4 linked regions of the Saccharomyces cerevisiae S288C genome follow. The gene in region 2 interacts genetically with the main gene of each other region. Each region holds a gene or a part of one and is shown on either strand. Other genes may lie near its edges. The genes, in order: AYR1, YSY6, DUS3 and YDR222W.

Evidence for each region.
Region 1: mutations in YSY6 (region 2) and AYR1 together harm fitness more than expected from each alone (negative genetic interaction), as found in Saccharomyces cerevisiae (one large-scale study listed by BioGRID).
Region 3: mutations in YSY6 (region 2) and DUS3 together harm fitness more than expected from each alone (negative genetic interaction), as found in Saccharomyces cerevisiae (one large-scale study listed by BioGRID).
Region 4: mutations in YSY6 (region 2) and YDR222W together harm fitness more than expected from each alone (negative genetic interaction), as found in Saccharomyces cerevisiae (one large-scale study listed by BioGRID).

The regions. Positions count from the first base shown.
Region 1 is NC_001141.2:121,057-129,196, reverse strand, and holds AYR1 (acylglycerone-phosphate reductase), read right to left. Parts: upstream 2,994-8,140; coding exon 2,100-2,993; downstream 1-2,099. Other genes in the region: putative glucosidase SIM1, read right to left, coding at 1-1,046; alpha-ketoglutarate dehydrogenase KGD1, read right to left, coding at 3,464-6,508; RSC chromatin remodeling complex ATPase subunit STH1, read right to left, coding at 7,126-8,140. UniProt on the Saccharomyces cerevisiae protein: Can convert acyl and alkyl dihydroxyacetone-phosphate (DHAP) into glycerolipids and ether lipids, respectively. Required for the biosynthesis of phosphatidic acid via the DHAP pathway, where it reduces 1-acyl DHAP to lysophosphatidic acid (LPA).
Region 2 is NC_001134.8:563,089-570,524, forward strand, and holds YSY6 (Ysy6p), read left to right. Parts: upstream 1-2,142; coding exon 2,143-2,340; downstream 2,341-7,436. Other genes in the region: TOS1 (Tos1p), read right to left, coding at 115-1,482; EXO5 (Exo5p), read left to right, coding at 2,635-4,392; Arf family GTPase ARL1, read right to left, coding at 4,787-5,338; UBS1 (Ubs1p), read left to right, coding at 5,764-6,597; TYR1 (prephenate dehydrogenase (NADP(+))), read right to left, coding at 6,754-7,436. UniProt on the Saccharomyces cerevisiae protein: Interacts with target proteins during their translocation into the lumen of the endoplasmic reticulum. Protects unfolded target proteins against degradation during ER stress. May facilitate glycosylation of target proteins after termination of ER stress.
Region 3 is NC_001144.5:921,905-931,216, forward strand, and holds DUS3 (tRNA dihydrouridine synthase DUS3), read right to left. Parts: upstream 2,545-9,312; coding exon 538-2,544; downstream 1-537. Other genes in the region: zinc-coordinating transcription factor SFP1, read left to right, coding at 3,664-5,715; SEI1 (seipin), read left to right, coding at 6,839-7,696; DUS4 (tRNA dihydrouridine synthase), read left to right, coding at 7,885-8,988; 60S ribosomal protein eL31 RPL31B, read right to left, coding at 9,161-9,312.
Region 4 is NC_001136.10:905,769-913,968, forward strand, and holds YDR222W (uncharacterized protein), read left to right. Parts: upstream 1-4,285; coding exon 4,286-5,533; downstream 5,534-8,200. Other genes in the region: MFB1 (Mfb1p), read right to left, coding at 1-1,084; GTB1 (Gtb1p), read left to right, coding at 1,562-3,670; CRF1 (Crf1p), read left to right, coding at 6,331-7,734.

The sequences.
Region 1 (8,140 bases), on a different chromosome or scaffold from region 2:
CCTTCAACATAGGTTGGGATAACCATGTTTTCAGTGCCCGGGTAGTCGGTTCTGCAAATGGCGACACCCTTGCTTAGTTTAGAAACAACATAGGCAGCCTCGACACCCCATTCACATAAGTAATCCGCGTCAGTGTTAGAACGGTACAAATAACCATTTTTACACAACAAACCCCCGACAGATCTACCGTCAGATGGTTGATCGGATGGCCATTGGGTCTTAGACATACCTGGTTGGCAGGAGTAGGAACAGTAGGACCCCTCCTTGCATGAACCGCCAGTGGAAGTGTCGGTGTTTTCCACACCGGACCATCCACCCTCGCCAATCCAGTCAATAGAAATGACACCTTGACCAGATGGGAATTTGTCACATGGAATAGTGCCGTCTTGGAATTTCTCACTTGGGCCTGAAAAGTCGGCCAAATCACCGTAGATACTACCACTGCCAGAAGAAGAAGAAGAAGAGGAGGAGGAGGAGGAAGAGGAAGAGGAAGTAGAAGAAGTGGAAGTAGAAGTAGAAGTAGATGGTGAAGTGGAAGAAGTACTAGATTTAGTGGCAGAAGAAGCACTAGATTGGGTTGCGGAAGAAGTTGACACGACAGTAGATGTTGGAGCAGCTTCTTCACTAGATGAAGAAACAGAGCTGCTTTCTAGGGTAGAAGTTGCCGAGGAGGAGGAGGAGGAGGAGGATGCCCCTTGAGATGTTGAGGCAGTGGCAGATGCAGCGGCATCAGAGATTTTCTCATTCTTGGCTAAGGCAGCAGATGAAACAGCAATGGAAGCGGAGCTATCCGCAGCGGCTGCGGAGGAGGTTGGAGCCAACACAGATGTTGTAATGATAGCAGAGGTAGCAGCAGTAGCGACTTCTGAAGCAGCAGGAGTTACAGTGTGGCCATCAGAATCGACAACAACAGTTTCGTAAACGTATTTGTACGCAACGGCCCTCTTATGTTGGTGGGCATCTTCTTGGTGAACATCCACGTGTGGTAAAGCAGACACGATGGCACCAGAACTAATCAACGTAGTAACGGCAGTTGAGAATTTCATTTCTGCAAAAAAATAAAGGATTGGATATTAGTTAGTAAAGTGTTTTTTTTTCTCTTGTTTTACCTCAAGTATTGCTTTTCTTACACAAAACCTTTCCAAATGCAAACCAGTCTACATCTTATTTAAGATATACACAGCTGCTATGCTGTGCTATGCTGAAAGCATTAATGGCTATTTTCTGGTTCTTCCTAATGTAGATCTGAAACTTCTATTGACTGACGCGAAACGCCAAAAAAAGGCATGTCCGGATCGGGAAAAAGTGTCCGCATCAGGAAATTTTCCGCCGCAATTTTCGTGACGAATGTCGTTCAGGAGAAAGAAACGAAGATAAAACCAAAAATAGCGGTTGAGCACGACTAAACTAACGTTTTGAGGACGCATTGGCGGTATTGGAAAGGGTTGAACTGCTGCAGAAGCTGAGCAAGCCTTGGTATTCATGGCAATACGGATTGTAAAGGTGTATGAGAAAAATTGTGGTAAATAACTTACTAAAAATAAAGCTCAGGTTAACTTAAATATTGTGGTTTTTAAAGGAATGTAAGTAGTTGGGTAGCACTAAACAAATGTTTTCTTGCTCGCTAGTTAATTTTTATAAAGGAAGGACTGTAAATAGTTGGAATTCGAGAGGGGAGCAAAGAAACTGTTTCTTTCAGTTCAAATGGTCTTGCTATAGTGTCTTATTCAACTGAGTAGATATATATATTTGAATATGCTGTTCTCACTTTTGAAGTAAGAGAGGGAATGCGAAGATAAATACAGAATAATTTCATGTAGTTTATAAATAAACAATGGCAATTTTGAAAAAAAAAAAACAACAAAGCACGATGCGAAATGAGCGAATTCCGTCCCAGCGCGTTTCAAACGGTAAGAGCAAAGAGAATGAGTGAAGTGACAGGAATTTGGCATACTGGTACGACGAGACGTAAACAATACTTAAAGAGCAGTTGAACATTAGCATTAGAACGATTATTAGCTATTGATGTCCTGACGTGGTGTACAAACTATACGGAATCTTGTATATAAATATAGGTAGCTATTGACGATGGTGAAACACTAATCGTCCTTATTCTTCTGTTTCGACTTCAAAGCATTATTAACTTTGTCCAATTTAAATTTTTTGGAAAGTCCTTTTTCCAATAGCCAGTAAGGAACAAATATCATGACAAAACGCATGATGTTGGCGAACGTTCCTCTATAAACATCTACAGGGTCACTAGTGCTCAAGATATCTTTAACCAGTTGCTTTGCGTACGCATCAGCTGGCATGGGCTTATTGTCCTTAGCCATGGTTTTTCTTGAATTAAAAGCTTCCCTACCTTCAGGGAAGTTGTATATTGAGGTTTCAGGCAAGGGCCTTTTATCAGCGATATCAGTAGCCACACCGCCAGTAATAGCGTTAATCACTCTCACGTTGAAGGGCTTCATCTCTAGATGTAACCCACGAGCATATTGGTGGATAGCAGCTTTAGAAGCGGAATAAATGCTACCAAAGGGGAATGACACAACTCCTGCCAAGGAACCAGTGAAGACAATGGTTCCTTTCGCTTTAATAAGGAACTCCGACAATTCACGGCACATGTTGATATGACCAAACACATTGACCTTAAAGCATTGTTCTACTGCAGCATCTGTTGCATCCAATGCAGGGAATGTACAACTCTGACCGGCATTGTTGTACAATAAATCTAATTTACCATCAGGTAAATTAGCTCGCAAAAAACCAGAAAATGTTACAATTTCTTCTGGCTTGGAAATATCCAACTTATATGGTTTGATACTATCGTTACCAAATTGGATGGCCAATTGTGCCATTGGTTCTAGTCTTCTTGCACATGCATAAACCAAATAGCCATTTCTGGCTAATTCCTTCGTTACCTCATATCCAATACCACCTGAGGCGCCTGTAACAACGGCAATCTTTTTAGGTTGTGACTGTAACTCCGACATACTCTTTGAAATCCTGATCAATATTTGAATTGAGTATATATTAATAGAAGTTGGGCATGATGAATAAAACTTATTCACTCTATTTACCTACCCCCTTCCCCCTTTCCATTGACTTATTTTTCACTTTTTTTCTCCACCGGATGAGGACAAGAGAAGCACCTAGCTGTGAATACACCAGAGGAGGAAGTAGGGGGAAAAAAACGATATCAATATAAAGTAAAGAATGATTCTTGAATAAATAGTAAATACAACTAATAAAAAAAGGTTCACATAAATAAAACGTTAAATTAAATAATTTTAAAAAGACTAAGCAGATGCTAACATCATGAACAAAAAAAAAATGTGAATGTATCAAAAAAAATATTTGTTAGATCATTCTTCAAGTAAAAAGGCTGTCCATAAACATTAAGGTAAAAATATTACGTGTTTATATGGCTGTATTTTCATGTTTTTCATATTTGAATTCATCTTTAGGATTGTTGGAAAACATCTTTCAAAAAGGCATCTTCTTCGGCCAAATGTAGTGATTTGCTACCGGCAGCAACAGCACCACTTGGGTTTCTACCACAGTATCTGACCTTGAAATCCTTATATTTATCCGTTTCTTTTAATGTTGTGTGTAAGCGTGGTTCTGTGTATGCCCACGAACCCATGTTCAATGGCTCTTCCTGGCACCAAACAATTTCTTCCAAGTTTGGATAAGAATTTAATGAATCACGTAGCTGAGCAAATGGGAATGGGTGCAGCTGTTCAATCTTTAAGAAAGCAGTGGTCTTATCACCCAAACTTTCACGTCTTTTATGTAGGGCAGTGTACACTTGGCCACTCAGCAAAACTAATCTCTTGGTTTCCTCTTTCGTACCAATACTTTTTCCATGTTCAATATCTTCGATAATCCATTGGAATCCGCCTTCAGTGAATTCGGAAAGAGATGATCTGGCCAATGGGTGACGCAGCAGCTGTTTAGAAAAGAATAACGCCAATGGTTTACGGAATTGACGATGTTGCTGTCTCCTTAGAATGTGGAATAAATTAGCAGGCGTAGTTGGATAAACAACCTGGAAATTACAATCCTGATGTTGTCTCTGTAGCTTTTCTTCAGATGGGAAATATCTTGGGTCTTCATTGGCTAGTTGCAAGAATCTTTCCAATCTACCAGACGAATGTTCTGGCCCCTGGCCATCATAACCATGGGGTAAAGACAAAACTAAACCAGAGCGTTGCTTCCATTTTTGTTCACCACCGGCAATAAATTGGTCAATAATAACCTGTGCTGTATTTGCAAAGTCACCGAATTGAGCCTCCCACATGACTAGATAATCTGGGGAGGTTAGCGAATAACCATATTCGAAACCCATTACACCGTACTCAGATAACGAGGAATTTGCAATGGTGAAGTCTGCCTTTTCATTATTCAGAGTGCTTAGCGGTGTGTAAATGGCTTCAGATTGTTGGTCATGCAAGACTGCATGACGTTGAGAAAATGTACCTCTTTCTACATCTTCACCGGAAACCCTAACGTTCTGACCATCCAAAACCAATGTACCGAACGCTAATGCTTCACCGGTGGCCCAATCGATGCCTTCACCTGTCTCAATAGATTTTCCTCTATTTTTCAAAATTCTCTTTAGATTTTTGTGCACTTCAAAACCTTCTGGCCACGAAGAGAGTACCTTACCTAGTTCTTTCAAAGTACTCTCTGGAACATTAGTTGGTTCATGTGGTAATATCTCAGTGGCCAATTCCTTTGGGGATTTGAATCCTTCCCAGGCAGCAGTTAACCATTCTCTTTGAGATGGGACGTAATCCTTTGCCTTTTCGAAAGCATCTTCAAATAAGTTCCATACCCATTTCTTGTGCTCATCAATATCTTTTTTAGAAAATGTGCCTTCACTTATCAATTTTTCCGTATAGACGTCAATGACAGATTTTTGTTTTGCAATTTTTTTGTACATTAATGGTTGAGTAAACGATGGCTGATCGGTTTCATTATGTCCATGTTTTCTCCAACCAACGACATCAATTATGGCATCTGTGTGGAACTTATGTCTCCATTCTGCGGCTAAATTGAAAATAAAGGTCACAGCTTCCACGTCATTAGCGTTAACATGGAAAATTGGGGCATCAATGGCCTTAGCCAAATCGGAAGGATATGGTGTGGACCTTGCAAATCTTGGATCCGTAGTGAATCCGATCTGGTTGTTTGTAATAACATGAATAGTACCACCAGTAGAGTATTCTGGTAGGGTCAAGAAACCCATGGTTTCATAAACAACACCCTGCCCAGCAAAAGCAGCATCACCATGTAATAACACACCTAAGGCCTTTGTTTTTTCCTTCAAATCGTTCTTGGCATGCAATAAAGCTCTAGTTCTACCAAGAACAACTGGATCTTGGGATTCTAAATGAGAAGGATTTGCCACCAGCGATAAATTGACGTACTTACCAGACGTAGTTGGTCTTTGGTAGTTCATACCCAAATGGTACTTGACATCACCCGATCCTTCAATATCATCGCGAGCGCTCGAACCCTTAAATTCAGAAAAAATAGATTCATTTGGTTTACGGACCACATTGGATAAAACGTTCAATCTACCACGGTGAGCCATACCCAAAACAATATCTTCTACACCCAATTCAACAGAACGATCAACCAAAGTTTTAATACCTGGAACAACACTTTCCAAACCTTCTAAACCGAACCTCTTATCATTTGGAAATTTTGTAGATAAGAATGACTCAAAAGAAGTGGCCCATGTTAATCTATCTAAGATTTGTCTCTTTTGGTCCACTGTATATTGGTAAGGTTCAGGAATCTCAATTCTCTCTCTTAACCAATCACACTTTTGCTTAGATGGAATATGTGTGTATTGTACCCCATAAGAGGAACAATATAACTTTTCTAGATGATCCACAATCTCTTTCAGAGACATTTTAGATTTCCCGTCCCTTGCAAACCTTGGCAGGATACCAGGTCCTAGGTTGATTTCTTTATCAAGATCGTGTTTGCTAAAGCCGTAGTAGTCTAGAGTCAATTCCGGAGGAACAGGGTTATTTTTATTACTACCAAATGAGATCCCTAAAGGATCTATATGGGCTTTTAAATGACCTCTAACTTGGTAAGCTCTACATAGCAATTGCACTTTTAGATGAATGGAGACGTTCTCATCTACTGAACCAGTCATTGCGGTCCCTAAGGGAGCTGCTTCGGTACCCTGGGGAAAGTTACTGATACTGGGAGGAGCCTGAAAAGCCTTTGTAGCTGGAATCTTTGGGTTAGACATATTCTTGAAATATGCGTCCCATGAAACATGGACTGAAGATGGGTCTTTTTGCCAAGCTTGGTACATTTCATCGATATAGGTGGCATTTGATGTCGATAGAAAATTATCTGTACCAGTGGTGGCTAACCCTCTTCCGACAATTTTGACAGTAGATGCATTTTTAAGTAAAGATGTTTTTAATAGTCCTCTTGAACTATACCGGCAGGTTTGCGAAGACACGAACCTTAGCATAACGGTAAAATTTAGTATTTTCTAAAAACTGCTTTCTTTCTCTTTTGTTGTTTCTTTCAAACGAAACTTTAATTTGGGGAAATTAGGAAGAAGTATGATGCTGAACGAGAATCGCTTCCTTCTCTCTTCCTATCTATATTCAGCTGCTGCGACTATGTGACAGAAACAAAATTGAGGGCGAAAAACAAACAAGATATGATCTTATTAAATAACACACGGGTTTGTTAAAGTATAAATAGTACACACCCAATGAATCTAAACCGTTATCGTAAATCGGACTTACATGTAGGTCTTGACTCCCGCAGTCCCTTTGCCAATCATTTATGTGTAATGCCTCTTTCTTATTTGCAGAGGCCCCTTCCTTAGCCCCGGAATCGCAAACGGTCGAAGCTAACTGGTCCATCGCCGCCGGGTAATTATTTTGCGGCACTAATAAGCCCAGAGAATAAGCCAAAGGATATTAGTTACTCAAAGAATTATATTCGCTCTGTCGATCTTATTGTTACAGTGGTATATATTTTATAAACATATGTAGAGGTAGAAAAAAAGGCTAGAAAGAGTATTAGAGGGGAAAGGGATATAGTCGTAAAAAAAAAAAACATGTGGTGATGAAAACGTTACGAAGAGTGTTCCTTGAACCATTCATCAGTAAACTCATTTAACTTGTCAGCATCAACGTAAACCCAGGATCCCTCTTCATTATAGAATCTAGCATTTTCAAACATCGTTTGTAAGGCTTGCCTTACCTCCTCCAAAGTTTTGTAAGTGCCATTCTTGCAGTTTTTCAATATAATATCAATGGCCATGGGTTTTTCAATTACTTTAAAATAGTCCGGATAGTCGCGTTTCGAAGGAAGCTTTTCAAAAATGGACGTCCTTGGATGGGAGTCTACCTCATCTAACTGTTCGCGCATTTCTTCCACCAATTTTTCCACCGTGGGAAAAATCCCAAGCGACTTGGATTTAGTTTTAGTTTTTTTGGCTGCAGTCTTCTTCGCGGGCGATTTACTCTCTGGCTTTTCTTCTGCTCGCTTACCATCATTATTCTCCAACACAGTTGTTTTGTTTAGTTTGATCTTGACGGTCAGTTTCGGTTTCTTTTTCTTGGATTCTGAACCATTTATAATTTCAACGGAGCTACTTTTTACTTCCTCTTCCACCTTAGCGCCCCCGTTTTCTTGAGATGTACTCTCTTCTTGAGTATTCTCTTTGTCTTCTGCCGTAACAATGCTAATGGTCCTTTTCTTTCTACTACTCCGGCGTTTTGACCTGGAAGCTGTAGTCTCTTTATCAGCATTAGTTTCCTCATCCACAGCTGCAGTGAAGCTATTGTTCTCAATCAATGAAGTTTCGGATGCTTCAGGCGTGTTTTCCAGGGTTTCTATTTCATTCTCTTTTGTACCATTTTGACGTAATCTCCTTCTTTCACGTGCTTCACGTCTTTTTTTAATGGCATCTTCTAAAGACATATTATCATCTTCTACAGCCTCCAAAAATTGTTCTTCAGTTAGACCGTCATCATAGTAAACTCTTTTCTTTTGTCTAATCCTTCCCAATGGTTCAGAATCCTCTTTCTTGAAATGTTCTTCAATGTCTTCTCTGAATACTTTGGGTAGCTCGTCTAATTGAATC
Region 2 (7,436 bases):
GTTCAAAGTGGACAGAAACCCTAAAACAAAAATAATAACGGGGAAGGAAAAAAATAGCAAGTGAAACATAAATGAAAAAAAGGAAAATTTTATTGGTTAATAAGAAACGATCGACTATGGCAAGGCCGCAGAAGAACCGGACTTGCTCAACCATTGGTCAACGACATCATCGCTTAAAGTAGCATCAAAGCTTTCGTCGACTTCGATAATGTGAATAGTTTTATCACTTGAATTAAAGATTACGGCAGCCTTTAAAGTACCATCAGTTGGTCTCTCGAAGTAATCTTGAGTACCACCATCTTGGCCGTCATGGATGTGTGAGATTAATTTATCAGAACCAGCGGTCAAAATTTCGAACAAATCCATTTCACCACAGCCAGTTTTCCAACAAGAACAAGATGCATCACCATATTGCAAGGTTCTTGGGATTTTTGCATTTAATAACCAAATAGCTGGCATATCTTGATTGTAGGCAGAACCGCTGGTGTCACTTGGCATAGAAAATTCGAAGACGAAAATTTTATCAGCCCCACCAAACCCATGATAAGCAGGAATGCCTTCTCTGTAATAACCACAATCGCCGTTATTACCGGAACATTCTTCACCGGAGAAAATCATGAATTCATTACCAGATTTAATGGTGACATCACCAAGAGCTTGAGCGGAGGCAGCACCAGAAACACCATCTGAAGCAGCAAAAGAGATGGAGTTACCGAAACAACTCGACCAGACACCAGAACCGGCAGTCCCCCCTTGGTTGTTCATGAATGTACAGTTGCTAGTAGAGCCTGGGACAAAGTAGGAACCTCTGGACCAGTCACCGTTAGTGTTAGAAGATGATGACGAAGATGATGAAGCAGCAGCAGCAGAAGAGGTGGTTTTAGAGGAAGAGATGGAAGACTGGCTTTCACTCGTTTCAACTGCTTGAGCACTGCTGGACAAAACAGTAGAGTCTTTAGTGTAAGAAGAAGGAACAGCAGGACCGACAACGGTATTGGTGGAATCGGCTGTGACTGTTTGACCATTACTGTCGACGTAAACAGTGGAAGTAACTTGAACATATTCAACAGCAACATCCCTCTTGTGCTGATGCTTATGTCTGGAGACAACAGCTTCACCTTCCTTACAGGACTCGATTGATTGTTTCTCTGATCTTTTCTTCAAAGCATTAGATTCACCATTTGGGTAGTAAACACCAAATTGTAGTAACTCGATCGGACCCCTGAAATGAACAGATAGTTCCTCGTTGAAGGGAGCCAAGCTACCAGAAGCAGTGAAATCAGCTTGGGTACAAGCACAAGAAGATTCATCCATATTGGTGACATCTTGGTAGGTAGCAGATAAACCGACGTTAGAGTAAATGATGGCATCGGTTTGAGCACAATAGTAATTACCGCCAGAGTAAGTACAATCAGCGTTCACGAGTGACACAACTGAAGAAAACAAACCGACTAATGCGGTCATGGAAAGCTTTTGTAACATTTTTTTCGTTCAAATTCCGTTAGGTTTTAGATATTTTATGGGGTGTAAATGGAAAAACGAAAAGGTGAGAAAAAGACGTTCTATTGAAGGAGTGACTAGAAGTTGGATAAGTTAGGTTGGTTTGAGTTTTGATTCTGGAGTCTTCTTGCGAGAAAAGAAATAATTATAATATAAAAAAAAATTGAATGGAGATAAGAAGTTTAACTAGCAAAGTTCGAGAGATATAAAAAGTAGAGATGCGAAAATAAAATTAAAACAAATCTGAAAATAATGGAAGTGAAACAAGGCTAAGCAAGAAAATTTTCTATATTGCCAAGACAGGAACGTTTGTGATGAATCACATCTGCATTCGTGGTATATTTAAATGAAAATCCCAAGTTTCGAATTTTCACGTTTGCTGTACGACGAAAAAGCGTGGAAAAATAAACAAAACCAGCACTAAATCGCCAACGAAAAAGGAAAGTCGCCAACGCGAAAAGAAAAGAAAAAGCGAGGCGCAGATCTCGTGGTATGTGATATCGTGTCTAATGACTTGACGTGGCTTTTTTTCTTGTCGCCATCTGCGCTTACTTGCGTTATATCAAATATAATTTCAGCACAGCATTACATGCAGAAATAGCAGGGTGCAGAGGTCGAAGTAGATAGAGGACAACACCTGCGATGGCCGTACAGACACCAAGACAAAGACTGGCTAATGCCAAGTTTAACAAGAATAACGAAAAGTATAGAAAATACGGTAAGAAGAAGGAGGGCAAAACTGAGAAAACCGCACCTGTGATATCCAAAACTTGGTTGGGTATTCTTCTGTTTCTTCTCGTAGGTGGTGGTGTTTTGCAACTAATCAGCTATATCCTATGAAGCAGTGGCAAATTGCATATATAAGTGTACAGTGGAAGCAAGTACGTAAATAAATAAGCGATTTCGAATAATAATAACAACAAGCATAAGGCAGTATTACCCGCGTTGTCATTTATGGATGCGAAAAAAGATGAAGTAATTCAAGTGCTATTGTGATTTACCATGCCAATCAAACGTGCAACAAAGATGAGTATGAGGGGGGACCCAGGCATAGTACACAGAAAAGCTTTGTAGACTGTCTTTGTTTTCTTAATTTTTCAAGTAGGCTTTCTGCTTTTCTTCTGTACTTATCGTATGCTGGGCCGGGCACTAATCAACAAGTATGGATTTTTAATTCATCCTAGGAGATTTGTACATTTAAACGATAAGTCCCTTGATGGAACATTTATACTACCTTCGAAGAAAAATCATATGTATGATGTTCCAACTAATGATCCAAGCGGTATCCTGAATGCCTCGGATATCGATAGAATCAATAATTTGCCATTTTTCGATAACACCAGTCCGACAAAAGAGACAAATACTAAGGAAGGAGCATTGTTGAGCGAAAAATTGGCCAGCGTTAAAGAATTATTTGGAGAAGACCCTGAAAATCCTTCGTTTATCAATTACAGATTCCCCAGAGGTTTAGAGAATCCCTATTTTGACATTCAAGTAAATCAGCTAAAGAAAAAACGATTATCCGTCACACAATTATGCACTACGCAGAATTGGTGCGAGTTAAGGAATTTTTACGACTTTTATTCTCAAAATTTGTCTAACCAACTACTGAACTTAAAATTTCAGGTGCAGAAAGGTAAAAAGATTCATAAATCACTAGAGGACGAAACGCATCCTGAATTAAATCAGTATAAAAGCTTTACCCACAATTTCCTTGCACTGACAAAATTATCTATGGATATTGATAATGATATGGATGCCCTGCTAGATAACTGGTTCAACTCTATCAATAGATTGGTCTCTTTATTCACCAAAGGTGACGGTCATGCAAGAGAAATAGTTTGTCATGGCTTCATTAACTTAGAAGATGGCAAACTGGTGGAGCATTTGCTGAACAGTGATAGCAAGACAAAGGAAAATGTGATTATATCAGGTGTTATTGACCACTTAACTCTTAGAAATAGGCACAATCATCAAGTACAGAAAGGTGCAGCTCATCTTGATACGGAATATCAGAGCTGGGGTAATATCCTCACTAATTTACTATCAAATCTAAAAGAACTGAAGTCGAATAACGAGATTGTTATCTCTGATATCAAAACTAGGTCAGTACCAAAAATACCATCTATTGAGTCCGTTATAGAATCCTCTAAATTACAGACAATGTATTATAAGTTTTTTTTTTCCCACCTTAGTCAAGACATGACACAAACCTACCATAGCTTTTTAATCAATGCCCAGAGAAGAGGACTCGACGTTGATGCGCCCATAAATCCTACCAAGATTTTAACATTCATACTAACAAACCCACTCTTCGCTAATGATGTGAAGAACCTCCTGTACGGACTACCGATAAATCATTCTGCTTTCGATAACGACGCCAAAGGCTCTAATACATTTGATATGACCGCGTTCAATGATTTGCTGGATAGAGGTCCCACATCTTTTAACGTTCCGATTGAGCAAGACGAAGATAGTTCGGAGTCAACAAAATGTGTATCTTTGCGAGATTATGGACATTTTTATACGAAATGGAAGACACCTCTAACTTTGAAATACTTTGCGGCAAGGTTATCACAGATCTATTTTATTGTGGGTAATCTCGTTTCGAATGATTTAATGATAGAATATTATTACCATAACGATAATTTCCACAATATCATCTTCCCATATGATCCCTTGAAACTGGGAACCCATGCCCATGATTCTGCAATGGTTTGGTTTGGTGGCAGAGATATGCATCCAATTGAGCCTACTCAAAAAAACTTCAACACATACTGTAAGTTTTGTGACTACAGACACGTTTGTTCTTGGAAAAATAAAAATGAATTGAAACTTATTGATCTAGGGAAAGAATTAAAAAAAATTATTCTTGAATCAAGTATGAAGTAGTGTAGGTATTGTAACATTATTTATTCTAGTTATTAAAAGGGTGTTGTTTCGTGAATACATTGAAGTCCTTTATTGGGTTATTAAGCACATAAATCTGTTTCTGCTTTCGGACGTCCTGTTTCAATAAATCGGAATTGAAATGACAATTTAATTTAAATGTATATATGCAACTTTCATTAAGAGGTCATTAGGTATTTTAATGCGGCCTTCTCATTCATCGGAACGATGTAATTGCCTTTAGAATTAAAACCCAAAGAGAAACATGTATACACTTACTAACTCTATTATGTTTGGATAGAGCTCCTTGATAATTCAGTTACAAAACAAATTATATGTATATTCAATGCCATTTAAAAAGTATGCATCTACACTTTTTTTTTGCAAATCTTTATCGCTATAACTGTTCCTCTTTTATAACATCAATCAACCAATCTAAACCTTCGGTAATACCTTCGCCTTTAATTGCACTGGATGCTACGATAGACCAACTTCTGTCCTTCAATTCTACAAGATTCAGTTCTTTGGAGACTTCACTGGCACTTAATGCACCCGGTTGGTCTTGTTTATTTGCAAAAACCAGCAGTGCTGCATCTTGCAATTCTTCTTCCTGTAACATCAAATGAAGTTCCTTAGAGGCTGTAGACATACGATCTTTATCAGTCGAATCAACAACGAAAATAACTGCAGCAGTGTCTGCATAATAACACCTCCAGTAGGGCCTGATACTTGTTTGACCACCAAGATCCCAGACGTTCAATTTTAAGTTTTTATAACTTAGCGTCTCTACATTGAAACCAATGGTTGGCTTTGTAGTGACTACTTCGCCAATTTGTAAACGATATAAGATGGTAGTTTTACCTGCACCATCCAAACCCAAAATCAATATACGCAATTCTTTGTTTGAACCCCATAGTTTGTCAAACATTGAACTAAAAATGTTACCCATCTTGATCTATAACTCACTTTACTGGAACTTTCTTCTTAGATCTTTCTTTATTTTTCCTTTGGTTTTAGAAACCTTATTACTCACCGTTTCGTAAATACAAATGAACCACGCAATCCTTTACTACTTGAAAGTTCCGAGAACATTCTGCCTAATATTAATTGTCGTAAATCTAACTTTTATAGGCAAAATAGTTTTATTCAAAATTTCAATTGGAAAGGGCTCTGTTACCCGTCCTGTACGATGCAGTGGGTTTTGTTATTGTCATAAGAAATATTTAACCTACTCTTCCCATATATATCATAGAACACATTCTTAGTATGTTTTGAGAGCATCAATCTAACGTTGCCTTTGTCGTGATTTTGTGCGAGGAGGCGATATAAGAGCTAAACAGATTTTTTTATATTTTAATCAAAAAGCTAATAATTATGGCTTACTCTTTAACAAGGAAATTGCTGAAGGATTGGAAATATTTTATGCGCCATCCTGAGAAGACCCAAGGTCTTTTTCATGTAAGGCCACATGATTCAGACTTACATCTTTGGCACGTGGTAATGTACGAGCCCAGGACTTCTTTGGAAGTATATCTACTACTTTATATTGGCGGAAACGACCAGGATCCATATATCATCATGAAATGTCTGTCTCCAAATTGTTGCTTTCCAATTAACAGAACGGTTTCGATGACACACTTAAACTATCTTTTATTGAAAGACTTGGGATTACAGGATTTACTTTTCCACATATGGCAACCGCTTTTTCATATTCAAGCAACGGAAGACTTACAGTATTCACCGTCAACGGTAAAATTCAACAGGGCGTGGAATAGGATTATATATAAGGACTTTAAATCTTATTTTCCGGAACTGATAGGTACTTTACAACCAGGTGATTACTCTATAGTAAAGAGCTATTCCAAAAATCATAATATCAGCAATAGTAATGGTGGCAGTGTCAATGAATTTATGTCCTCTTACAATGCTCAAAGCCACACCTTTCACGCACAAGACAACAGCAAGAACCCTTATACTAACAGCAGCATAGGAAAGTCTAGTATGTTATCTACTCTCAACAATAATAACGTTAACAAAAGGACACATGACTACAATGCTATCGACTTTATGACCAAAAACTTACTTGCATGTGATGATGACAGTATTCATCCGGTCGTAAGTTCTAAAAGGTCAAGAACGTTGGCATGTCCAGATGAAACGAACGATAATCGCGGTAGTGAGCATTACACAAAGAGGAAAAAAATCTAATGGGTTTATTTTTACATAGAATAGTAGAACTTTCTTCCTTTTTTCACGATTTTTTGCATGGGCATTTGTCACAATATATATTTTTATTCAGTTATATAAATATACTCCTTTTCACAAAAGAAGGCCTAATATTATAGGAAATCAGCATTAAAAACATTATGTATTTCTTTTTTCAGCGGCCGAACGGTCACTAGAATGACTCAGAATGGTTTTTATCATCTCGTTGCCAATGAGATTAGCCTCTGGAAGCATTGGCTCAAAGAACTTTTGAACACTCTGAAATTGCTTTTTGTATATATCAAAATTGGCAAAAGAAACAACCGAGCTCCATTCTCTAGCCGAAATAACAAATTCTAAATCATCTTTTATGAATGATTTATCATGGATAGCTGCATCAATTGTCTGTTCTAATAAGCCAGGTTTTAAAAAAAGATATTCGGACACACCCAGGAATATTCTGAATAATGGCGTCGAACAAATCATATGATCATATGGATCAATACCAAGTTGAAACCACGAATCAACAATCGCCAACAATGATAAATGTGAATTCGGCACTGGCTTGCAATTGTTGCTGTTACCAATGCTGCTTTTTGATAGCGAATATTTCTCTAAAATCGTGTCATCCAATAGTAAGAGACCAGTATGCTTTCCAAATACAAATTGCTTAGCTTTTAATAGTCTATCAGTAAGTTCTTGTTCTTTGTTATCTATCATTAAACTAAATAGTTCTGTTGCACTGGTTGCATATTGAAGAATTTGCTGATGTGCACTTGGGTTTGTTATGGCTAATCCTGCGTAAACATGCCACTTGTTCGAATAGATTCTTAGTGATATAT
Region 3 (9,312 bases), on a different chromosome or scaffold from region 2:
AAAACGTTATTGTACTTCCTTTCCGCGGCTAATAGCAACTGCAGCGTAGGAATAAATATGCCAAAAGTGTAAATCCAAGCGCCTGATACAAAGTAGATGTTGAATTGTTTTAAAAGACTTACTCAAGTACCAGGAAGGAGCTATGTGAACGGGATGTAATGAACTTTCCAGACACCCCAGTTTGCGAAATGCCTTTTTTCAGAGGCGACTTGCGAGATTCAAATCACTGCGCGTTTTCTAAATCCACCTGTATTTACCTGCTATTTGAGCCACTCAGGTACAGTTGCATCAGGTTGATAGTTATGTTCATTTGTGTTGCGATGATAACCTGTCCGAACTCGTTAAGATTTTCTCAATACACTTTTCTCCGCTCCTACCTAACCCTTCCCAGCTGTGCTTATTTTGATTTTCTTGGAACCCATACCTCACGTTTGAAATTGACACCCGTACATATTCCAATTCTCGTCTTGCAAAGGAAAAATAACCGCGCTTACCCATCAGATATGATTTATGATACATGTACACTTGATTTTCTATTTAGGAATCTCTGTTTGCATAAGAGCTGCTCTTATGTTTGGGGACAAATACAAAGTTCTCGTCGGTTTTACCGAAAAATAGATCACTTAGCTTGATCCAATCATTAACATCCGTACTACCCATTAGAGTTTCAAGTTCGTCTCTTCCACACCAGTTTGGCGGTCTCTCATTCAACTTCACAGGGTATCTTTCACAAATACCCATGGGGACATACCTATGAAAAAAGGACATGAACTCGCAGAAGAATCTACGACATTGAGAAATGCCGTATTCGTCGGTGCCCCAGTGTTCCATAGAGAACTGCGCATAATCCCTTAAAATGTCTAATCTTTCCGTACTTGTCTTGTCTAGATACTGCTGCGACTCAACCTCTTCAAAAATCCATGGTTTGATCAGGGCCCCTCGAGCAACCATAACACTATCAATATTTTCATTTCCGTTCAAATAGCGGTACCAGTCTTCAAAATTGTTGACATCACCATTTCCGACAAATTGAATTCTGTTCTTGGAATCCCTGCCTTCTTTGCCTTGTTCGGTTTCGATGAAATCCGCTTCGGCGGATCTCAAGGTGTCAGCCACTTGACTCACGTAGTCCCAATCCGCAGACTTAGTGTACCTTTGTTGCCTAGACCTACCGTGTAAGGTAATCGCAGCCACATCAGTTTCGTTAACCAGTCTTTTGACTAACCCTTCCGCGATAGGATGACCTTCCTTTGTACCTGTTCTGATCTTCACCGTGATAGGAATATCTTTCGATACGTAGTTCATCGCGTTTAAACAACGAATCATTCTTGCAGGGTTATCCAGCAGGGCGCTACCAGAACCTTGTCTGTATAGCAAATCGATGGGGCAGCCAGAGTTTAAGTTGATTTCACTTATTTCACTGACGGAGTTTGCGAGTGCTTCTGCAGCCTTTGCCGCCTGCCAGGCTTTAGAACAGGCCACTTGAACCCCGAACCCGGGGAACTCTGATGTGTGAGCTTTAGGTAACGCCCACTCAGAATTAGTTCCTTGAATTAAGGGAACTGCCAAGGCCATTTCCGAATATGTCACATCTGCACCTAACTTTCTCATTAGACGACGGTATGGTAAATTGCCTACGGTTGTCAATGGCGACACGATTTTTTTGTGGTACAAATCCAGTGGCTTTTTTTCTTGAGCAAAATAACGAGTGTCCTTGTACTTCAAGTATACTTCACGCTGTTTCATTCTATGTTCTGACAATTCTTTGTTCCTCTGTTCGACTTGGGGGGCAACTGGTTGTTCCACATCTGGGTCTTGTTTCTTCAGCTGTGGCGTTGACTCAACTTCTTCTTCTGGCTTCATGGAATCTCTACATTCTTGTTGGAAAGAGTCGATGATTTCCAATATTTCATTACTTTTTGTGAAAGGAAATCTTCTTTTTATAAGATCGAGTTTTCTTTCCGGTGAGATATGGTTTACCTCACCTTTAACGGACCATATTGTTTGCGCATCTGGATCAATCTCCTTCTTCGATATTAGGATATTATCTTCTTTATTCAGATGAGACGATAAAAATCTGCATTTGAATCCCATGGGGCAAAATCCCAACGAGTTGAAGACCGGACAGGAAGGAAATATATTACTTTCAACTTCAGGCTTTTTTGTTGAAAGGTACAGATTGATATCGTGAACAAACCTACAGTTATCACCAAAGGAGCATTTAGATATATCGCCATGGATCAAGCGTGGGCACAAGACATTCTGTTCCTTGACCTGCCTGTTATCTCTATTCTTGTTTTGCCCACGCTTCTTACCTCTTCCGTTCTTATTTTTCTTATTAGTCCCACCTGCAAACTCGTTTGTCATTCTGTCGGAAGACATCTCTTCATCATAGATGGCGACCTTCTGGTTTTCATTCTGCTTCAATGGTACAATATATTCTGGTTTGATATGTGCAATACCTTTGGACGGGGAAGTGTCTTGTCTCTTCACGGTTGAGTTGTCGTCGCCAACAATAGAGCGTTTTTCAGCGTTTTGCTCCATCAATAATGTTTAGAAGTTGCCTTTTTTTCCTATTCTGAGTTCATTAATGTTTCATTACTGCTCATCTCATCACTACACATTCGAACTAAATTCTTCATAACTTTAACTAGATCTTATGAAACTTTTCAAAAATGGTGCACGGGCTTTCTGTATATTGAACTTTCCGTCGCTTTTCGGAGCTACAATTCCCCTACCCGGCTTGTCGGCATTAAGTCTCTTCATCCCGTGTACTATTACCCGACAGGTTTCTGCGGCATGTTCTGTGGAACGACGGTACGGGCGGTGACTGGGTGCCAAACAGTGCGGCGTTCCCGTGCGCAAGGTGGTCTGCGGTAGGAAAAAGAAACAAAACGCGCCTACGTCGTGCAAGGGGACAGGATTTTGTCAGTTACATAATAAGGAGCAATTTCGAATCAATTGAAATTTGGAACAAATGGGCGATGCATTCGTTAAAAGGCGATTTTGTATCAAATAACGTCACTATCAGCCATTGTCACTTGCCACTGTCGCCTGCCACCGCTATTGCCATTATCATTTGCTTTCGCATCGTCACCGATTTAAAGCTCTCTAGGCTAACGTACGCATTTTACCTCCCAGGCCCTATCTCTTTTCTACCTGTCATCCCTATATAACGTCTTGTACATTCTAGTGGCTCCGTTAACAAGGTTTGACAAATATTACAATCAAAGAAGGATAGCGCTAGTCAATCTAATCATTAAGTTCGCTTATAAAGAGAAGGAAAGCTAGATTTTTTTTCTACTTCAATTACATATCGGTGCTTCTCTCTGGTGGTTTTCTGTTTTTCTAATATTGATCGATTTTACGGTGAGTTAAACTACTTCCTTTTATCGCAATATCATATTTAGAGCGAGAAAGCAAGAAGAATAAAGCTAGGAGAAAAAAGCGCCACGATACATTCATACTAAGTTTATAATATACCGGTCGTCTTTTGGCTTTCTGATACCATATTATATCCTCGAAACACTTTCTCTGGATTCACCTACTATTAATCACCTCAAGATTTCACTTGTAAGGCGTTTTCAAATTTATTGTTATTAAAAGACATATTCATATTCAGTATTTTTATTTTTCTTCGAAACAGGAAAAGCTTATCTGAGTATGGATTTTACAACAATGACTATGGCAAGCAATATGGCTACTAGTACTACTACGACGGCTACATCGGCACATGCATCTATAAATTCGTCATCAAACTTTAATATTGATATTGATTCGAACCAGAATACTCCTTCCATTTTGATAAATAACAATTCGGATTCTTCTAATGGAAAAAACACAGATTTTAACGGCGTCAATAATATTCACCAAAAAAATATCATGAATAATACAAATAATGTTCATTTGTACTCTCCAAATATAATGGACCAAACGCTACTAACTCCACAGGACATTGCCAAGTTACGGAGAGAATCAATAGCCCATTCTCAAGGGATGGGTGGTGTTTCATGGGGATCCATTAGTGTTGGTTCTTGGTTAAGAGATGAAATTATTAGCCGTAGAAATAGTATTGTACCTGCATCAGCAAACGGTGCTGCCTCCGCTGCCGCTTCTGCAACCACTACTGCCACTAATACTTTGCAGATTCAACAACCAACTAAGAGACCCTCTGTTAGTAATCCGCCTTACCATAGAGGGTATTCTATTTCTCCTCAGATAGCCTACACTGCTTATCTGCCAAATCTAGAAAAGCAATATTGTAAAGATTATTCATGCTGTGGTCTTTCCTTACCAGGTTTGCATGATTTGCTGAGACATTACGAAGAAGCTCATATATCCACGTCTCCTAACACTACCAATATGTCACAAATACCGATGAACTCTGCTGGTAACACTAGTTCATCAGTTCGTATGACAAATAATACCTCTTCTGCCAACTATAACCTGCAGAATAACATGGCCGCTAATACAAAAAATGCAGGTCATAAGACTAATACTATGCAGGCTCATAGCAGCAATGCAACTAATAACACCTCCATTAATAATATGCATGCCAATCTTCAGAGCAACATGGATTCCAACTCCACAATACGACAATCTCAGCATCCTCACCATCAGCAGAATATAATACAACAACAGTTGCAATCGAATTCTGTAAATCATACATCAGGGGCTGTACCCACACCGAGTGTAATGGGTTCAGCAACTGCGTCGTCCACAACTGCAAATCCAAATGTGATATCTATAACGGGTGCCCCCAACTCGGGCTTATCTATGGCTAATCACTCTCAACAACTACATCTGAATGGTAATCTAGTCGATGCCGTTTCAACGAATGATGTGTTTTTAAGAACGAGCAATTCTCCATCAAGACACGTTCCGCACAATAAACAAATTAACAGTAACAATAATAGTGGTATCAATATCAATAATAATACCTCACACAATTCTAATATTAACATGGGTAGTAAAAACGCCATGGTGAATCGTCCACATACTTTTAATAACTATTCCTTGAACAAAACGTCCAGGAATCCTATTCAACATCAATCAAGAAAAATTGATCCTCATCAAACCGATTTATCACCTCTGGTACTTGTCCAAGATATAGATTTAAGTTTTATGGATGATGATATTTTGGGCCCTAGTAACCACAATTCCATGAACTCTGTCGTAAATCCAACTACAGGTTCTCACAACTACAATACTTTTCATTCTTCCGTACACGCAAAATCTTCTCAAAACATGGTCGAGGATCAAGACATTGATGACATTGATGATGACGATGATGTTGATGATGACGATGACGATGACGATGACGATGACACAGAAAATGGCTCCAGTTCCAATGGAAAATCAGTTCATAACAACAATTACAAGATGCCTCAGCAAGCTTATATAGACGATCCTGCGAGAAGGCTCTATGTAATGGATCATGAGGAACAAAAACCCTTTAAGTGTCCAGTTATTGGTTGTGAAAAGACTTATAAAAACCAAAACGGTTTGAAGTACCATAGGTTGCACGGACATCAGAATCAAAAATTACATGAAAACCCTGACGGTACATTTAGCGTAATAGATCCAGATTCGACAGATTCTTTTGGTGATGGAATGGGCTCTGCAAAGGATAAACCATACCGTTGTGAAGTTTGTGGTAAGAGATATAAGAACTTGAACGGTTTAAAATATCACAGGGGCCACTCCACTCACTAAGATATAATTGTTTCTTTACTGAATTGATTTAGTATGCTATTTAGATACTAATTCTACCGTTACCGACTCATGCATCGAGCGGCCGCTCTTTCTCTTGTTGTTGGGCGCAATTTATGTGATCATCTTTGAACGAAAATGCATGATAAAGCTGTGCTCTTCGACTGTTACCATTAATTTCAAAAAATAAAAAGCATATCTATTATTGAAAAATGAACTTATAATAGAATAACATTTTCTTGTTTTGTCATCATTTCCTCTAAATACTCCGTCATGAAAACGATTTGCGCTCTGTCTGGTCTCTCCTTTTAGTATTATTGTTGTGTGTTTTTTACTATTCATTTTTTACTACTGTGTTTTTACTATATATATTTTGGCTTTACTTACTTCCTTCTGTTCTGATGTATTAAAAACTATTTTTATTCTAAGAAAAGAAACTTTAATTCTTCTTATTCATGCTCTAAATCTTAAATAAAAGGTTCCGTTTTTTATCTGCAATTCTGTGTATTTGTAAGTGAATTACCATGCACGTTGTCGGATCGTTTTTCTAGGCAGAAACTATCTTATTGAACCATTAAAAGATTACTTAAATATTACAATTAATCTTACGAAGCATATTAATTAGACTGGAATTACAGCGCAACTATCACAGGTTAATAATTGGTTGAGAAAATATTATAGTTTTGTTAGTAATGTTGAACTTTTATTTTATACACTTATGAAAGTAAATTAATTCAATATCAATAATAATATACTATAAGTAACTTAAAAAGCAACCTTCCTCCCAAACCTACAATCCAATCACGCTGATAAGTATTATCTAGAAAGTTGACAACACCAAGCCATATGGTCAAGAAACATTTATTGAGAGTTATTTTGTAAATAAGACTTTTCGTCATCCATATAAAGCAACCTAATTGTTCATCTAATACTAGAGTCGCTCTTTTGAAAGTTAAGTATAACTACCTCATCATTAGTTGCTACTATGTGTATAATTTGAAAATCTCAACGTAAGGTTATTAAAAATATAAATGCGCGTAAGACAGAAAAATAGAGACAGCTTACGGCAAATTATCAAAATGTGAATCCAAGGTTTCAAGAAAATAAGATAAAGTGAATAGGAAGGATGAAAATCAATGTATCCCGTCCATTACAGTTTTTACAATGGAGTTCATATATTGTTGTTGCATTTCTGATACAATTGCTAATCATTCTTCCTTTATCGATCTTAATATATCACGATTTTTACCTAAGACTATTACCTGCCGATTCCTCTAACGTAGTCCCCCTTAATACGTTCAACATTTTAAATGGCGTACAATTTGGTACAAAATTCTTCCAATCTATTAAAAGCATTCCGGTAGGTACAGATCTGCCGCAAACAATAGACAATGGCTTATCACAGTTAATCCCCATGCGTGACAACATGGAATACAAGCTCGATCTAAACCTACAGCTTTATTGCCAGAGCAAAACTGACCATTTAAATTTAGACAATTTGTTAATTGATGTTTACAGAGGTCCAGGCCCGCTATTGGGTGCTCCTGGAGGAAGTAACAGCAAAGATGAAAAAATCTTTCACACTTCTAGACCTATTGTCTGCCTCGCACTGACGGATTCCATGTCGCCTCAGGAGATCGAACAACTAGGCCCATCACGTCTAGACGTTTACGATGAAGAATGGCTAAATACAATAAGAATAGAGGACAAAATATCGTTAGAGTCTTCATATGAAACAATCTCGGTGTTCTTGAAAACGGAGATTGCCCAAAGAAATCTAATAATACATCCAGAAAGTGGGATTAAGTTTAGGATGAATTTTGAGCAGGGATTAAGAAACTTGATGCTTCGAAAAAGATTTTTATCTTATATTATTGGCATTTCAATTTTCCATTGCATAATATGTGTACTTTTTTTTATCACAGGTTGCACTGCATTCATTTTTGTTAGAAAGGGTCAGGAAAAATCCAAGAAACATAGCTGATAGAATTGTACTTCTCGCTATATAATTTTAAAACCTAGCTGTTATTTTCTAAGTAAGTAGGCTCTTCCAGCATTCTGCTTCTTCGCCCTGAATAAAAAAAAGATGATCAGCGAAAAAACTCAAAATGAAAATAAGAGATGGATTCTTCAAAGTTATAATTCATATGCAGAATAAAGATTCTAAAGAAAATGCACACAATGCATATTCCATCCGGTGATGTTCTGATACCGAAGCCGAAGCTTATTACTGAAGAAACAGATCCACTGCATATAATAAAGACGAGGCAAAAGACACATGGTCGGCCCGTGACCATTGCAGGCCCAATGGTTCGGTATTCCAAGTTACCATTCCGTCAGTTGTGCCGAGAATATAACGTTGATATAGTTTACTCCCCCATGATTTTGGCAAGAGAATATGTCCGTAATGAGCATGCAAGAATCTCAGACCTTTCTACAAATAATGAGGACACCCCGCTAATCGTCCAAGTAGGTGTAAATAACGTGGCTGATTTACTAAAATTTGTGGAAATGGTTGCCCCATACTGTGATGGTATTGGTATTAACTGTGGTTGTCCTATAAAGGAACAAATCCGAGAGGGCATAGGTTGCGCTCTGATATACAATTCAGATTTGTTATGCAGTATGGTCCATGCTGTGAAAGATAAGTATGGCGACAAACTAAGAATTGAAACGAAAATAAGAATACATGAGGCATTGGACGAGACGGTGGAGTTATGTAGAAAGCTATGTGATGCTGGGGTAGATTGGATTACGATTCATGGCCGAACACGTAGAACTAGGTCATCGCAGCCGGCTAACCTGGATGCGATAAAATATATCATCGAGAACATCAGCGACAAAAATGTGCCTGTAATAGCGAATGGGGATTGTTTTAAGTTATCCGATTTGGAAAGAATCACCAAATACACTGGTGCACATGGTGTCATGGCTGTGCGTGGGTTGTTAAGCAATCCAGCGTTATTTGCTGGATATACTACCTGCCCTTGGGGCTGCATTGAGAAGTTTTGTTATTGGGCTCTAGAGTTTGGTGGCTTGCCTTTTCAATTGGCTCAGCACCATCTGTACTGTATGCTTGAAAATATGGAGTTGAAGAAATCTCTGTTAAAGAAAATGATGAATCTTAAAAATTACATTAGTCTGATCGACTGGTTTAATAAAACCTTTGAGTTCAAGCGTTACGGCGAGGATGGATTTGGCATGGGCGTTGAAATTCCTTATAAAGCTAATAGCTGTGTGCAGAGGAGCGCCTCAGTGGTTGAGAGACAAGAATGAATAAATTTTGAATTACAAAAATCTAATAAACTGTGGTACTGAAATTGTATATATTTTCCTATCATTCAAGAGCGTATACTCGTACCCCGAAAGCAGCTCTGTTTGTGTAATAATATAACCTAAAAGAAATAAAATGCTTATAAGATGGACATTATTTTTTTTTTTTTACAATTTAAGCATCTTCTTCAACGACAACGGTTTGTAGACCCTTAGCAGAGGCAACCAAAACTGGTTCGACGTAGGAAAACAATGGGTTCTTGGCATCTTCTTCTTCGTTTCTCTTTCTGGAGATTCTCAATCTCAATCTGTATTCAACACCCTTAA
Region 4 (8,200 bases), on a different chromosome or scaffold from region 2:
CACCGTTAAAATCGGGATAATGCCTTTCAATCTCCTCTAAATAACCTCTTGAGACGCTCCTTCTGCCAACTTTCGGTAGTATGTCAGAAGGGGGACTTATGATTTTCCTAAAATCTTCGTCATTAGCACTTAACGAACTGGATAATTTCAATCTTGGATTGTCCTTTTTCTTTGTTTTTAATGGTCTGCTATCTCTAAAAATTAACTTCTCAAAAAGTTCGGCTTTATCCTTGACTTTATTAGATTTTCTCAATCTTGTGATTGAGTCAGACGATTCAGTAGATGTAGGCGTCATCTCTTTATAATCAGGATCTCGTGACTTAGTGAAATCCATTGTAATATTATTCCAATCATCGTCCAGTAGTTTGGGCGATGAACTTGAAAATACAGAATTTGTTGAACTTCTAGAATAATTAGAAAATGTCGGAGAAGGGATAAAAGGTGGCTTTTTGACTAAGTCTTCTTCAAATGTTGTATTTTTTTCCAATCCGTGGAGAGAATGTATTTCTCCATTATTCTCCTCTATGTATGTATCATCAGAATCCGCTGAATGGGTCCTAAATGCTTTATCATTGAGTTCGATGAATTGATTCATTCCTTGTAGTATTGCAGTATGAGCGATTTGCTCCCTTGTTATTTCTGTAGGTTCGTTCAAATCCATATTTAAATCTTTCACAGAGCCCTTTTCTTTGCTCTCAACTTCATTTGTTCTATAACTTATTGTCTTTCTAGCCGGATCAATAACGCCTAGTTTATATTTCCGCTGAACATTTCTTAATGATGCGACCAGGGATATGTTGTGACTATTTAAGGTTTTCATTGCCTTTCTATTAAAATTCAAAACATCAAAGACATCAACAAGAACATTTTTTGTCCACCACATATTCCCGTTTGAGCCGATAACAGCATTTCTGTAAACAATGTTCTCATTCGCCAGCATCCTTAGCAAGGTGCAAGTTTTCCCTATGTTTTGTAAATCATTCATATCCAGGTGAGACAATATTCGGAACAATAGGTTTAATGGTAAGTTTGTCAGGGACCTTTCCTCCAGCGGCATCTGTACACTACAAGAAAATAATGTCATCTATGTGGTTGAAGGAACTATAACTAATTCTGGAACAAAAGTGAACTTTCCTTGTGCAGTTTGGCCAATTTGTTTTGATATTTTGTATGAGGATATTTAGCAAGTAGTAACAGAGACTCCTTGGTTATTTGAAAACTTTCCCTTTGTTTAAACTATAGCAAAGTATAACTTTCCTTTTCCTATTTTGTGAAAAAGTAAGTAAATATTGTTATCTCCTCCCAACTGGTTAAATACTGGGTAGGTGCACAAGCGTTTATAGTTTCTAAGAAGACAGCACCAGGAATAATGATAAACAGTTGTTTGGGTCAAAACAAAACGGGTATTGCCAATGCCTTTTAAAATACTTACCCGGCCATAAAATGAATAATAATAGTGTATGAAGACTGTGTTGGAAGATGTTATGGTAGAAGCAGAGGCTTCCGCACTGCATTTAAGAAGCATAAAGGCACTTCTGCTATTTCATTAAGAAGATTCGCTATGGTGAGCATGTTCTCATTATTTCTGCTATTAATTGAGCAATCGCCGCTTGTAGCGTCATTGCAACAAAGTCAACGGCATATAGTGGGTGTTCCCTGGGAAAAGCAGCACTTGTATGACTCGAATGAACCAGATTTGACTAAATGGCACTGTTTGAACCACGAAGATATCGTATTGGATATAAGCCAGATTAATGATGGGGTTTGTGATTGTCCTGATGGTTCAGATGAGCCCGGCAGCGCCGCCTGCGTGGAAGATATATTCAAAAGCGTTGCAGAGGGAGGTGGTAAAGTGAATAAGTATTTTTATTGTGATAACAAGGGGTTTATTCCAAGATATATACGAAAATCGGAAGTCGCAGATGGTATTTGTGACTGCTGTGACTGTTCTGACGAGCTACTTTCTGGATATGAGCTCTTTGATGCTGGATCTAATTGTTCTCAGTTAAAAAACGAATTTGACATTATGGCCTCTAAAGAGTTATCAAGTTACCGGGAAGGTAAAGAGGCCCTAGAAGAACTGGAAAGAAAATACGGTACAAAGGAAGAGGCTATCACCCGTGGTAATTGCTTAGAAGAAGATAAGGAAAAAGCTTCTGCCGAGATAAAAGTACTCTCCAACAGGCTCTCAGAAAATCGAGCCAAATTAGAGCAGTTGAGAGGCGAGTACTTTAACCAATTAAGCCATGATCCCATTTTGTATCAATTTGAACAATTAAACAGTACTCGTTTGGGATCGGACATCCTTACATCGTTCACTATGGTTTCAAGAGTAAGTAAAGGTTACCAGGACATATTCAAGATTTTAAGTGATTTATCAGAGGCCTATACTCCCTCGCTAAATGATAAAGTTGTCAATGATAATATTAAAAAATTCAGAAAAGTTAGAAGACGGGCTGAAAAGGCTAAAATTAATGCAGATAGCAAAATTGATGATGAGCAGGCAGATAATCTTTACTTGTACTTTACAGAAGAAGTACCTCAAATTTTTTTGAAAAGAGAATCTGAGAACACGTTGAGGTACGTCATAGGAAAATCCAATTTTGTTCAAGCGCTAGTGGAGGGTAAAATTAACTATACCAACGATATCTTGGAGTATATCAGAGAATTCCGTTTGATTATGGATGATATTTCTCAGAATTACAATGTTAACTTTCAAGATGCAGGGGTCAAAAGTGCTGTCGATTCGTATAAAAACTACCTAGGTGAATACGGCGAACTGGCTGAATTAGAACCAGCTCACCCGTCAGAGAGCCTTTTGAGATCGTTGAGCGAAGTAACATCATTTGTGAACGAGAATGCACCAAAGGTATTGCCACCAGACGCTGTTGAGTCAGAACAAGATACGAACAGCGATCATATCGGTACTTCTGGAGATTTGCGCAATAAACTCAAAGAGATTCTATCTAAGCTGAATATTTTTTCATCTAGAAAAGATTTGGTCTCATTAGAGAAGAGATTCCGCTCTTGTGAAAGTCAAGTCAGTCTCCTGGAGAATGAATTAAAGCAAAAAATGGACTATAAGAAATTATTAGATGAAACTGAAGATGAAGGAACTAATTCTACTGCAGGAAATCTGACTGAGCTTTTAGAACTAATGGGATCACAATCCTATTGTCTTGACGACATACTGGACAACTATGTGTACACTATATGCTTTCAACGTCCAATGACCGAAGGTGTCATATATCAAGCTGAGGATAAGGTTGACGGTAAAAAAGTTTTGATCGGTCGTTTTAAGACATCAGGTTTTAATGTTGACTTAAACATGGAAAAATACGCAGAACATTTAAAGGCCACATATGATGAGAAGAGTGATTTGATTTCAAACTTAGCAGCTATACAGGACGATGACGGTAACATGCAACATTACGTATTCGGGAACTTAAACGAACTGAATAATGGTCTGGTACTAGAATACGAAAATGGAGACCAGTGCTGGAATGGTCCGCGCAGATCGGCTACTGTATTTGTTCGGTGCAGCGACAAATTCAAGATTCGGAGTGTACATGAAGCGACTAAGTGCAACTACATCTTCGATGTCGTTGGTCCTCTAGGCTGCAACAAGACTTTCGAATACGAGCCCCCTAAGTTCAATTTAAGTGAATGACTGGAAAATGAGTAGTTAGGCTTTTTTAGTAAGTAAACAACTAGGAAGGCCGATGCTGTGCCGTGATACTCTTTTCCGCAACAAAAGCAATATTTCCCTCGGCCAAAACGCGAAAAGACGATAAATAAGTATATCGTTCCAAATACTGATAGTTCTGTACGACCTGTTGGAATAACGCGAAAAGAAGGGTACGGCGTAATCACCCCACACGGCTTGTATTTTTTTCGGAGAACTAAGTCATAGACGTAATGCTAATTTTTCCGTCTAGCCGATGTTTATGCGGCTTTTATTTTTTTTTTTTTTTTTTTCTCATCTTTGTTCTTCCGGTTTCCAAGATGTCTCACAGATTATTACAGTGAATTCCAAAATCATGTTTACTACTGGAATTTGTATGCATATGTTTTGGCAATCTTAAGCCTACGGATTTTAAATGTGATGGATATAACGAACAGTGTTTACTGGAGACTCACTTCTCTGGGCTTGAGTTTACGATGTATAGTCATATAAAAATGAAGAAATTTCTTGAGTGACAATTGCCGCCGTACTTCGTATTGTCTTTTCTTGACAGTGAGGGCGTATAAGATACATCGTACATACATAGAGACTCATTTAGTGATGCTTGAATCGAGCAGTGATAAGATAAAGTTTGCGCCTATTAAAGAGGTAGATTACAAAAAACCGGTAAGTAAGAGTAAGAACTATACTCTTATTAATGACATCCAACCATTGGAGTGGTATTGTCACAATGATAGTGAAACGGGCTACCAACACACCATAAGTAACAAGACAGATGGTGGTAGAGGTTTATTCAGAGTGATGAAAAAATCGATGGAGACCAGAGTCGAGACCCAAACGTTATATTTCACAGATTTGCATACAGGCTTGTGTGGATTTGTTCAATTACTGTATTCTACGGTTATGGGTGGTATCTATAAAGGCTTCCAATTGAATTTCAAGGTTTTTGGCTCAGAAAGTAATAATACTGACTACGACGTTTGGGAAAGTTTTAAATTGGATGACATAGCTGAATTTCAACCATTAAAGTTTGTCTCTAGAAATGTTATTTTTGAATTTTTGAGCAACAAAAATGAAAAATTAGGTTCCATTGGCCAGTTATCTATCAAATGTGATTTACCAACATGTAACAATACAATTCAAAATTTGAAAATCGATTTGTTGGTGGATTTGTTTCAAGGTTTTAAGATGAACCCCAACGGTTGCAATTATTATTTTGACAAACAAATCTCGATGAGTGACGAATTCGTTTCCTCAGACAAAATGATCAGACATGTTTTTGTGCCCAGAGGTAAATGTAATGGTAATATTTCCTACGATAAAAAACTCAATAGTGGGGACTTTCAAAATAAAAATATTTCATTAACTGATGTTCCTGTCGTTTATCTGGACGCTGTTCAAGGTCTTTTGCCGAATAAAGCAGCCAGTAAATGGAATTTCCTATGTTTTCAGAGCGAAAACTACTCTGTTTTAGCAATTGAATTCACTACTCCTCGAGATCATGATAACGTCACCGTAACAGTTTGGTCAATTACTGAAAAAAACAAACTGATATCTATTGGTTCTTCTGTGCAGAGCCCAAAACGTCATGTTAGGTTCCGTGCTACGAGTACAGATAAGGAAAGCGGCTGGGTATATCCAACCTCTATCAAGTTCCCCGGTGGATTTTCAGAACACGACTTGAGGCTGGTTAATCGATACGACGTTCTCGGTGAGTTACCAAGCATGGTCAGGTCGTTAGCTCAGAAAATTGTGAGCATCAAACCTTTCATTTATCAATACTGTCAACCTTCTAAATATAAGCACGAGAAAGGTATTTCTATCGTTGAGAGCACCTTCATTAGTTGAACAAAAGCGTGAACACTTCCACATGAAATTCGTTTTTTGTCCTTTTTTTTCTCTTCTTTTTCTCTCCTGTTTCTTCTACCAACTTTACCTAATAATTAATGTGTAATCGAATTTTTTTACATAATCACTACCTAATAACTAATTTATCATCACTTTTTTTTTTCATTTTGAGGCCACACTTTCCCCCATGGACTATTGCATCATTGCGCCATGCTTCTTACTTGCGTAAGCCATAGAACGGAAATATCATGTTCCCCTTGCCGCATGCATATTGAAAACATCACGGGAACGAGAAGAATGGCATTTTCGAAATAAAAAGAAATCATATTTCAAATGTTGGGGAGAGAAAGCAAAGGGGAATCAATAATCATTAAGGGAAGTCGATGAAAGTTTCCTTTTCCGAACTCTACCTCGCCTTATATAAAACCTTGGTCTAAACGGATAAACCGAGATGTAGTTGAGTTTGTGAATCCAGTTCTTGTCCTTCTTCCTCTTTCAAAAAGTGAAGCAATCAGTTGAGAGTGTAGCTATAGAGGTGTGTACTCTAGAAATCAGACTTTCATAGCAAGCAGACTTTTTTTTTGTTGAATCTTACTAGCGGATTTTTTAGAGTTTTCTTCTTCGGACTAATCTGTCAATGGTTCCAGTAAGATTAATGAGTCAAAAGCCCTCTATAATTGTATCGAGAAATTTCTTAAAAGAAGGAATATAATTATTGCGGTCACTAGAAAGTTATAAGAAGGTTACCATTTAACTGAACAGCAGCGGTATAGTACGGAATAAAAAAGTCTTTTAAAATGTTGCTTAGTGCGCCTGTTAACAGTACCGTGCGGCGCAAGCCACACAGTCCAAATAAAAAAAAGCCAAAAGAGACAGGTACAGCTGCTTCCTTTTCGTCGTCCTCTTCAACTGTCGTCCTTTCATCCAATAATGATGGCAGCTTTGATGCTCTTTGGGACCCCTCTATAAGTAAGGCCTCGGATTTTGAGAGTAGCTATATTAGTGCTAAACGATTAAAACCAGAAAGTAGTAATAGACAGAAAAAAAAAAATTCTTATAAATATTCTAGGGAGGAAAACACCAACGAGGTAGAGGAAAAGACGTCTCTTGGCAGCAGCTCTAAGACAGAAGCAGATAATATATTTAATGACCAGCTCACGTCAGCTGGCAATACTACATATGTCAGTAATAAGCGCGATGTAAACTTCGGGGCGAATTCGGCTGTAGTACTGCTCGGTTTGCCAACAAGTAAAAGTGAATCTCACCGACAATACCACAGTCCTTCGGCTTCAACAACTAATGAAGATGAAGAGGACATTGGTGTTGATATTTTAGTAGACAACCACATCGATAGTTGCGAAACAGTATCGATAAATAATAATAGAGGTATTACACACCAATATCCAGAAACGGAATCAGATGTCGACTTTGATGAGGCCGTGATATTGACACCAATGGATGGTACGGATAAGGGAGTGAAAAATCCAAGACCACTCGAAAAAAAATATAGTAGCAGTTGTTTTGAGGACCGTACGCCCCTTAACTTGGATGATGGTCATTTCAGTGAATGCAATCATTTTTCTACATTAGATGTGTCTAGCTTTTTTCATCTCAACGAGCATGTGCATAAAATCGACGAAGTAGAGCTCGATGGACCTGATCGCACCTTTAGTCTAGACAACGTCGCTATTAATACAAGGAAAAAGGATATTGATTGCCTCTATAATAGTTCAAGAGAAGACTTATCCAACCTCACATGTTCTTCGGAAGGCCCAAGGAATGATAGTTATGATAGTGATTACAACATTGATGAGGTCACTTATAGAGATGATGAATCAACAGATGAAGACGAGAGCTTACCAACCCCAGATCGAAAAAGGAAGAAAATTGGCCATAAAGCTTGCGAAATATTGGATTCTAAAAGAATTGGAATAAAAGTACCAAAGTTATACGTTTGGTCTTTAAGTGATAAACCGTTTAGTGTTATCGATGGGTTGTGCACAAAATCGCTGTACCCATTGAGTGATGACATAAATACTCCTGAAAGTTTGAGCTCATGCTCAAGCTCAGTAAGTTCACGGGAAAATCAAAAAGGAGATGCAACATTTGATAATGATGCTATGATAGCCGACCTTCTAAACATAGGCGGACTCGAAGTAGAGAAGGCATCCAATGGCCATATTGAGCTCATAGGCGAGTGATTATTTGATATTCCAGAAGAATCATTATCGTCTTTTAAAGGAAAATATGATCGTTTGCGAAAAAATAGAAGCACTTTACTACTTGAATTGTCATAGAATAGTAGGAAAACCTACTTAGTCAGCGAAGATCAACTTGGAATATCGTATGATGAGATGGAGAAAAATTTAGGGGCCGAAATGGATGGATCCACTTGAGAGAGGATCAAGGAATACTGAAGTGCAGCTGACGATCCAGTCAGCGACATCTGTCTTTTTTTAATTACTATTGCTGTGTACTTATAGAGTCGGTGGCATTTATTTTATTTTTAGTATTTTTTTATACGTGCGTATTCTATTGTTCATTTTTTTACCAATTTTTTTTTTATTTTTATATTTTGTTTCTTGCGTGGAGTTTTTACAGGAAGTTAATCACAACAGAGGGTTCAATCTCCAAGGCATAAAATAAACAAAAATTGTAATAGTTAGC